2 linked regions of the Macaca fascicularis genome follow. The protein of the gene in region 2 binds, or shares a complex with, the protein of the main gene of each other region. Links are inferred from orthologs where the notes say so. Each region holds a gene or a part of one and is shown on either strand. Other genes may lie near its edges.

Evidence for each region.
Region 1: the proteins of ZDHHC9 (region 2) and GOLGA7 are in contact, whole or in part, in a cryo-EM structure (PDB 8HF3), measured with the Homo sapiens proteins. The link is inferred for Macaca fascicularis from reciprocal best matches to the Homo sapiens genes ZDHHC9 and GOLGA7. Residues at the interface, in NP_001008223.1 of Homo sapiens: Phe78, Ala81, Arg85, Ile94, Pro95, Leu98, Asp100, Glu101, Phe104, Ile105, Phe129, Gln130, Ile131, Asn132, Ile146, Pro149, Pro150, Arg182, Tyr183, Leu186, Tyr274, Lys281, Cys284, Glu285, Leu287, Cys288, Gly289, Pro290, Leu291, Pro292; in NP_001002296.1 of Homo sapiens: Lys11, Phe13, Gln15, Tyr18, Ser19, Ser20, Gly21, Thr22, Ala57, Glu58, Leu60, Ser64, Tyr65, Gly68, Cys72, Ala75, Tyr76, Thr77, Phe79, Leu80, Tyr86, Glu87, Leu90, Ile116, Arg118, Gly119, Arg121, Val122.

Annotation. Positions count from the first base shown.
Region 1 is NC_088382.1:44,991,272-44,995,857, reverse strand, and holds the start of GOLGA7 (golgin subfamily A member 7), read right to left. Parts: upstream 3,052-4,586; 5' UTR 2,995-3,051; intron 2,983-2,994; exon of another isoform or gene 2,730-2,982; 5' UTR 2,708-2,729; coding exon 2,597-2,707; intron 1-2,596. UniProt on the Homo sapiens protein: May be involved in protein transport from Golgi to cell surface. The ZDHHC9-GOLGA7 complex is a palmitoyltransferase specific for HRAS and NRAS.
Region 2 is NC_088395.1:136,113,029-136,117,374, forward strand, and holds the start of ZDHHC9 (palmitoyltransferase ZDHHC9), read right to left. Parts: upstream 2,906-4,346; 5' UTR 2,820-2,905; coding exon 2,653-2,819; intron 1-2,652. UniProt on the Homo sapiens protein: Palmitoyltransferase that catalyzes the addition of palmitate onto various protein substrates, such as ADRB2, GSDMD, HRAS, NRAS and CGAS. The ZDHHC9-GOLGA7 complex is a palmitoyltransferase specific for HRAS and NRAS.

The sequences.
Region 1 (4,586 bases), on a different chromosome or scaffold from region 2:
AGAATAAAGCTTCCTTTAAGGAACTGTTCTGGCAACAAATCGCTTAAGCATCAAAGTAGTACATTCTAAAAGCCAGCAGAGAAAATGAACTTGTTAACAGACAGAACCTATCCTACTCCCAAATTAAAGGGCACAAATGTGTATGTATTTTTTAAAAAATGCTTTAAAATAACACAGAACACTTGCATATTAGTCTCTTTCTCTATTACGTTGCCAAGTGTGATGTTCTCACAAAAAGAAAATCAGCTCCAACAGCAGAGCAATCAGTAAAATTTCTAGGGTAAGTAGTAGAGAAACAGAAACCTTTCAATTTTTCATCAAAGCAAGGAAAGTTTAAACCTGTAATTTAAATTTAATCTCAACACACACACACACACACACAGACCCATACACACACAATCAAAGCTTTTCTAGTGGTTTAAAGCATAAGCTAGTGTTTTAACCCAAACATTTAAAAAGAAAAAAGAAATTCACAGGCACAATTGAATAGTGCCATGTAACATTCCATATAGTACTCAGTACCACAGGCAGTTCTGGGCTACACAGAGTCAAAGAGGTAAAAGGACTCCAGAATTTAGAAACATCAATTTCCTGAGAAGAATCAGTGGAGCACTGTAACTACATTGTGCTTTTGTACTTAGGTTACAAAATAAAGGCTCTGCCACACACAGAGTGGAAGGCTAATGTCTGATTCTGCGTACACACATTTGCTCAAATATGAGGTGTAAGTGTTGCTTTAAAACCTTAAAGCAAATGAATCTTTAATGTCCAAATAATGGCGGTAAAAAAAGAATACTTTATATTCTGATTTTGAAGTACATAAAATTGTATGTCATAATCTCCATGAGAGGCTTAAAAATAAAACATTTGATTGATTCCATGTAAATCTTTTTATTTTATTTATTTTTTGAGACAGAGTCTTGCTCTGTCGCCCAGGCTGGAGTACAATGGCATGATCTCGGCTCACTACAACCTCCGCCTCCCAGGTTCCAGAAATTCTTCGACTTCAGCCTCCTGAGTAGCTGGGATTACAGGTGCCCGCCACCACACCTGACTAATTTTTGTATTTTTAGTAGAGATTGGGTTTCACCATGTTGGCCAAGCTGGTCTTGAATTCCCCACCTCAAGTGATGCACCCGCCACGGCCTCCCAGAGTGCTGGGATTACAGGCGTGAGCCACCGCGCCCAGCCTGATTCCATGTAAATCTTAACATGTAAAACACATCAGCTGTGATGTTAAATTATTTTAAAACAACATTCAGTAGCTCTAACCAACTGGCCACTTGCTGAATTTCTAGCTCTTCTAACCACTGTAGATAGTTCCACCTACTGTCACGCTGAGTTAACTCATAACATAGTTGACAAGATACTGCAGCATTTAAATGGCATTTCAGAAACAAGTCACCTCACCATCTTTTAAAGGCATATTTGATCAATTTGCAATTCAAGAAACATATTTGGGCCACTAACCTGCCCATGGTTATGTCAAACTGAAGGAAACTATAATGGATCATTGTTGATTTCCCAACCATGGCAATCAGGCAGTGCAACCCACCTCACTGTAAACTGTCTGTAAATAACTGCTACACATTTCTCTACACAGACTCATCCACACCTACTTATCCCATGACCAGCATCCCTCAGTTCCACACCCAACGAATGCCTAATCACCTCTCAGGCCCTCGCCCTCCCTGTCACAGAGGAGGGAGCCACAAAACCTGCTTCCAGCTAACCAGAAATTGATCCCTGAACAGGAAACACAATCTACATGACATGGGTCAAGACCAAAAGAATCTTTGGTTGAGTGTACATATGTGGGCACACAAAAACACAGGCAGGCACGCACATACTCCATTACCTCTACAAGATACAATGGTTTTTTAAAAAAACGTTTGCTAAGTCTGAAGGAGAAGCAAATTCCATTCTTACATTTTTGCATGCAATGTTACCCAAAGGACCTACATCCTGATGGCAATTTTGATATGCAAGACAAAACACGTGGCTCCCAGTGAATGTGATAAGTTTAAGGCCTTGTTCTGAGATATTTTCCTGTCCAGGCCTATCTAACGCTCTACGTCTTTAAGGTTCCAAGAAAGCCTAAATGCACCGCCTGGCAATGCACCTAATAAACCCTTTCAGTCAAACAGTGCGGCCAGCACAGAGGCAGCAAACACCAGTTATGAGAATGATGATGATTTATCTTGCGCGGAGAGGTAGGAAGATATAGCTTAAAACCTGGTGGCTGAGGTGGCCTGGAGCCTCAGGAATTGGCTCCTCAACGCTGCCGACAATTACCCGGGGTGGGGATTTGAGGGAGTGCAGCAGGGGAAGACTGCTGGATCCAGATTCCCGGCACCGGGCAACAAAGTTCCATAAGGTCGTCAACCCCGGCGATCGGCGTATATTATTCTTGCTCCTCCAAACACCTGTCTTGCTTAGTGGCTCTCTTCTTACACCTTTGGCCAAGGCCCCTTCTGTGCCTGGCCCTCCCCAGAACTGCTGGATCCTCAACGGCCCGGTTGTCGCCCACACCCCTCCCGTCCCCGGTGAGTCTCTCTCCCTCGCCAGAGCAGGCGTGGGGAGCCAGGTTGCGTACCCGGTTCTCCAGCTCCGCAGGGAACTTGGTCTGGAACTGGCAGCGTGTGCCACTGCTGTAGTCTCGCTGAATGAACACCTTTCCGGACACCGGCGCCTGCTGCGGCCTCATGGCGAGGACTGGACACCCCGCGCTGCGGGGTCGGGGGAACACCAACCGCGGGTCAGAGCCCCGGCCTGGACCCGGGACTCCGACCCGCCAGTCCCTCGCCCCCACTCGCCGCCCAAAACAGCCCAAGGCCTCCTCTGCCCCGCTCCCCTTCACCCATGCTGTCACCGCGGGCCTTAGCTGCCGCCTGGCCCAGGCCCCGCGCCCCCCAACAACCCGGTTCGGCCCGGGAAACAAACCCGCCTCCTCTGCCCTCCAGCTGCTGTCGCACCGCCTTCGCCGTCACTTACGTCCTGCCGCAAAAAGCCTCTTCCCCGCCCCTCAGCTCGGCCTCCTACCTCAAGTCTGGGACCCACCCTCTCCTCTGGCCGTAAAGCCACCCTGCCGAGGCTGCGCGCTGCGGGGCTGGGCCGAGGAAGGGAAACGCTGTGGGCGGGGCCAGGGCCGACCCCGCCTTCCGCCCTCGGAGATTGTTTCCGGAAGGAGAGAGGCGGGGCGAGCTGTGGGGCTGCGGCAGGCGCGAGCGCGCGGGGGTGTGAGGGACGAAGTTTCCTGGCTGTGTCACTTGTGGCAGCTGGTTCCCGATCGCTGATTGTGAGGGGTTATTTTCGTTCTTGATTGGACGTTGCAACTTACGTGTGGGTTGTGCCACCCAACTCATACGTAAAACGAAAAACAAAACATAAAGAAAAAACAACACCCCATCCCCAAACCCTCAAACATAAACTGCTCATCGTGTTCAGAAGTAGAAGGGCTCTGGGGATGGATCCGTTTGGTCCCTAGACTCGTAAGAAAGGGTCAGGAAGTGAGGACGAAGAACCTGCGTGGGCCCCAGCGTTGGCCGTCCCCGCCCCTTCCCGACCCTTCTTTGGGGGCGGCTTTCCTCTCACCCCACGTTTCCACCCAGCTCCCATCCACGCCCCTCGACGGCGGCTTTCCTCTCACCCTCATTTCCACCCAGCCGCCACCCATGCCCCTCAGGTGACCCAAGGGGACAGACAAGCAGTTCTGCCCTCGTTGCCCACTGGCCCCTACTTTACTCAGCATCTCTTTGCAAGGCAGCCAAAGAAACCCCACCTTACCTTGTCTCCTGCTAATACAACCTTTCAGTACCATGTCTTATATATTTAATACAGTTTAAATATCCTGCCTTTTAAATATGAAAAATTCTCCCATTGTGTTTTAAAAACAGCTTTTTCGAGATATAAATGGCATACAATAAACCACACATATTTAAAGCAGTGGATTTGATAACTTTGGACATATGAATACACCCATAAACCATTGTCACAATCAAGATAGTAAAGCTCCATTGCCCTGAAAAGGTTCCTCCAGCTCCTGTGTAATTCCTCCCTCCTGCCTCTCCCCAGACCCCATTTCCCAGGCACTGATCCACCTTCTGTCACTATACATTAGTTTCATTTCCTTGAAATTTATATAAATTGAATCATATAGTGTGTACCCCCTTTTTTGCCTGGCTTCTTTCACATAGACTATTTCGAAGTCCATCTGTTGTTGTGTTATCAATAATTCATTTCTTTTTGATGCTGGATAGCTATTCAATTCTATGGCCATCCCACAGTTTGTTTATCCATTCTTCTGTTGATGGACATTTTGGGTTGCTTCCAGTTTTGGTATGTTACAAATAAAGCTGCTATGGATGTTTATTTACAAGGGTTTGTATAGATGTGTAGACCTTAATGCTTTCATTTCTCTTGGGTACGTACCTAGGATTAGAATGGCTAGATTGTACGGTGAAAACACGTTTAACTTTTTGGCAAACTGACAAACTGTTTTCCAAAGCGGTGTCACCATTTTATATTCCCACCAGAGTTCCAGTTGCTCCACATCTTTGCCAACACTTGTGTAGTGATATCTCCTG
Region 2 (4,346 bases):
TACCCTCACCTGCCTGAAGGCAGGGGGCTAGATCAACTGATTACCTGAGGTCTCACTAAGTTCTTTTTTCTTTTTTTTTTTTTTTGAGACAGAGTCTCCCTCTGTCACCCAGGCTAAGATCTCCGCTCACTGCAGCCTCCACCTCCCAGGTTCAAGGGATCCTCCTGCCTCAGCCTTCTGAGTAGCTGGGACTACAGGCGCACAACATCCACACGGGGCTAATTTTTGTATTTTTAGTAGAGATGGGGGTTTCACCATTTGGCCAGGCTGGTCTCAAACTCCTGACCTCAAGTGATCTGCCTGCCTCGGCCTCCCCAAGTGCTGGGATTACAGGCATGAGCCACTGCGCTAAGTTCTAATACTAACAAAGCAGCCCACATTCTGCTCCCCAAACCGTGCCCCCACTATGTGGTGGACAGGAATTTATAGACGCCAAAGAAAAAGGCCCACCAGAAGGAGACTTCATTCCTCAGAGGCATGCTGGTGTACCTTGTACCACCTGTCACTGGCTAGGCACAACGCAGCCACCACCTAAAGTGTCTATGTGTTTATATATGACAGACACACACACATACACAAGCACGCACATTCACAAACACAAATTCCGCCATTCTCAGTACAAAGTATTCATCACCAGGGTCCTCTCCTCTTTGGTCACATTTCCACCTCCCCACTCTACTCCTCTGCTAACACATTTACTTCCTTCTCCCCTCTTCTTCCCACTACTCCCTCCTCCAGCCCTATCTTCAAAAATATTTAGTCTTTCACACACACAGCTGGTACTCAAGGAAGTTTTACAAATAACCTCACCCTTCAAAATGCAAGAAACAACCTGGGGGGAGGGGGAAGTCATCATGGTGGAAAACTCAACCTGGCTCTGTCAAACAGCAACATGGCTAATTAGAAGCTTCATCCCACCAGCGGTTTTCTTCAGAGGCCTGCAGGGGCCTCAGTGGAACAGATTCCAATAAGATTCTTCTGCTGGCTCCCAGATACAAAAGGGGACAAATGGCAATAGCTCCAAATTTCAAGTACCCCTGGCCAGTCAAACCAGAGGTTTCCTGGGCCCAGAACTACCAACTAACTCAAAGCCTGGGAACAAGGCTCATCTCTGTTTGGAATGGTTGCAATAATAAAAATTTAACCATGGGGGTGGGGGTGGGGACACAAAGAGAAAAAGGGAGTAAGAATGATAAAGAACAGAGGTCAGCTATTCACTTCCAAGAAGAAGCAGGGCAGGAATGAGGCAAGGAAAACTTGGAGAGAAGGGTGAGGGGAAGGAAAAACGATTTTTAATACTAGGAACTTATGCCTGCCTGACTACACATGCTCACTGGTACCACACACAAGCACGTGCATGCACACATGCACGCACACACCCTCAGTCAGGAAACTCAAACTGGAAAGCAAGTAAGAAGCCTTCAGCAACCTGCCTGACTTCGCTAAACACTTCACAAAGTCAGCAGTAGCGGCAGCAGCAGCAAAAAGACCTTTAACAAAGAGTTCCTCTGACCTTACTTTCCCAGCCCCGTTATATACTGGGTCCCCCTCCTCCCCCTGCTGTTACTCAAGCCAGCTGCAACCATCCAAAAGTCTGGCAAAGCAGCCCGAAAATCACTCTGGGTGCATTGGGAAAGCCTGAAGCCCTCACAGAAGGACAAAAAAATGAGCCCCAAGGGACCAGAGCTCACTTTACTTCCCCACTAGGCTGGCCAAGGTGCCCCCTCCTATCTCCCATGGCCACACCCCAGCATGAGGCCTCCATTTCCAGGTCACCCATGTACATACACCATAGCAGGCTCACGTCAGGTGTGGCTTACAGTCCACACACACACCTCTTGGCTCTCAAAGGCCTCCTCACAGTAATCCCAAAACAATTAGCACTGCTCCCATCCCTAGAGTGTAGAGCATTCTCAGCACACCCAGGAGACACGCCACAGTGCCCTAGAATCCAACCGGCCACCTCCCCTAGAGACGAGACCTACACAGACTTCAAACAGTGGCTCGAGTACAAGGTATTACACCACAGAAAAAAATCACTCCAAGGCTGGTACCAGGCATACACAGAATATAGAGTTGTTTACATTCAGTGATTTTGAGGGAAAGAAAGAGCAACTCACTTCTAATAAGCACGTATGTGCCACGCACACAACTAGTATGTGGTCCAGCTGAGGCTGGAACTAATCCGTAGGTTCCCAATTCAGTCGGCTTTTCACCGTAACAGCTAGCTGAGAGCTGAGCCTTAAGGAAACAGGGCCCAGAATAACAAAATAGGTGAGGATTGCTGAGTGATGTAACAATGAGGGGTGCCCTTAGGTTTGTGTGCAGGGGAGGCCATCTGTCATTCAGCTTCTAAGGAGACCACTAAAAGGGAGAGGTGAGTAATTAAGACAAACTTCCTTATTTCCCAAGTCTATCAAGGATAGCCCCAAACCAGTACTACAAAATTGGTATCAAAGGTATTGGTCTTTTGGGGAAGCACATACTCTGTGATGACCATGAAGCAATGAATTCAGCTGGCATCATCTACAGACATTGCTCAAGAGGATGTTAAAGTCATCCAAGGACCAGCCCCAAACTCCCCAGAAAGCGGGTTCTCCCCCTAGACCCAAAGTAACCATAATCAGGCAACTCTACTCAACCAAAACTCACTCAAAGGCGAAGAAGAGTGTACATGTCCCCAGGATGAGGAAAAGGGTCAGGTAGAAAATGCCCTTTTGCCGGGCCATCATGACCCGGCCATCACAGCAAAAGGTGTTCCTGCCTGGGAGTTTCTCCCATTTCCGTGTCACCTTCTTTCTCACCACCATCACAGACATGATTGGAATTCCTGCTCCAAAATGGGTTTTGCGATTACACAAGAGAAGACACAGAGGCTGAGCCCAGCTTTGAAATCGCGTTGCCTGCTATTCCTGCCGCTGGGTCAAACATCATCAAAAGTCCAATTGCCAGCCCTAAGAAAAAGCAGAAAAAGAAAAAAAATGAGGCAAGAATAAAAAAAATACAGTTCAACCCTCCTTTCCCAGAGACAGAAAGTTGAAAACTGACTGAAGGGGTGGGGACGGGGAAGTGGGGAAAAGTTTATTTCCAATTCGTGTTTGTTCTCTACAAGAAGATATGATTAAAGGTTCTCAAATAAGGAAAAGGGCTAGTATTTCCTCTTAAATAAGCCTCTATGCTTCCAATCTAATGCTGGTGATCTGATCATCACAGAACCTTGGAACTAGAGAGGATTTTATAGGTGATCGTGCCAATTATTAATACTTTGTTTTGTAAATGAGTAAAATGAGGACCAGAGAGAGGAAATAACTTATCCAGGGCCACACAGCAGCAATGCTGATACTGCTAACTTCAAGTCAAGGGCATGTTCCACTATGCCACAATGTTCTTTCAACATCATTAAAAGGACTCTAAAAATAATAGTAGAGTTTCTGTCCTTATAAAGCCTCCCTCCCTTCCTCCACTTCACCTTCTTTCTTCAATTAGCCACTCGAGTATGAATCACAGCAGGGAACAAGTCACCCTCTGGCAGGGCCGGGAGGTTCTGGACGCTCTGTGCACATACGTGCATTGTATTTACACAAAACAGATTTCCCCTCATCAAACCCTCTGCAACTTCCTGAGTCCGGGAAATGAAACAATCTGGCTGGTCTAGCCTAACATTTGTGGGAATCATAATGAAACCACATCAGAGACCTGTAGGTGAAAGGCTGACTTAAGCAGGAGAGATTCTGGAATGGTTGGTGACTGCTGATGGCTGGTTGGGGGGTGGGGAATGGCAGCAGCTAAGAAAAGTCACAAGGGCGCTTTCTGGGACATGTCCTAAGTACCATCTCTACTCAGCATCCTGAATTCCCAGGCCCAGCCTTTCTCAGCCTCTGCCACCCTTCTCCTCCGCTCAGGTGTGGTGCTGTGGCCTCTATTTACCGACACCACATGCCCCACGCTGGCAGGACTGAGGCGGAAGCCTGCAGCCCGACGGACAGAGGGAGAAACAGCCAACTCGAGATCATTCCCGGGCTGGAGAGGGCAAACGTCCAAAAACAGCCTAGGAGCGGAGCAGGGAAATGAGAAGGTAGAAGGCTCGGGGAAGGGGAAGGGGGCCCAGAGGTGCAGAGAACCCGTCCTTTGTGTAAAACTAACCTGGAAGATAATCTCCTCCCGATAAACCGGCCCAGCGGGAGAAGGGAGACCACGAACGGGGAGCCGGCCTGGAAGAACAAAGATCAAAATCCGTCGGGAAGCAGCGACCGGCTCCCCAGCGGGGGGCCGGAGGCCAGAGAGCGGAGATCGGGGCCGGGCCGCGCGCGCGGCCTCGCGAGGCCCGCCCTGCCTCTGCCACGCCG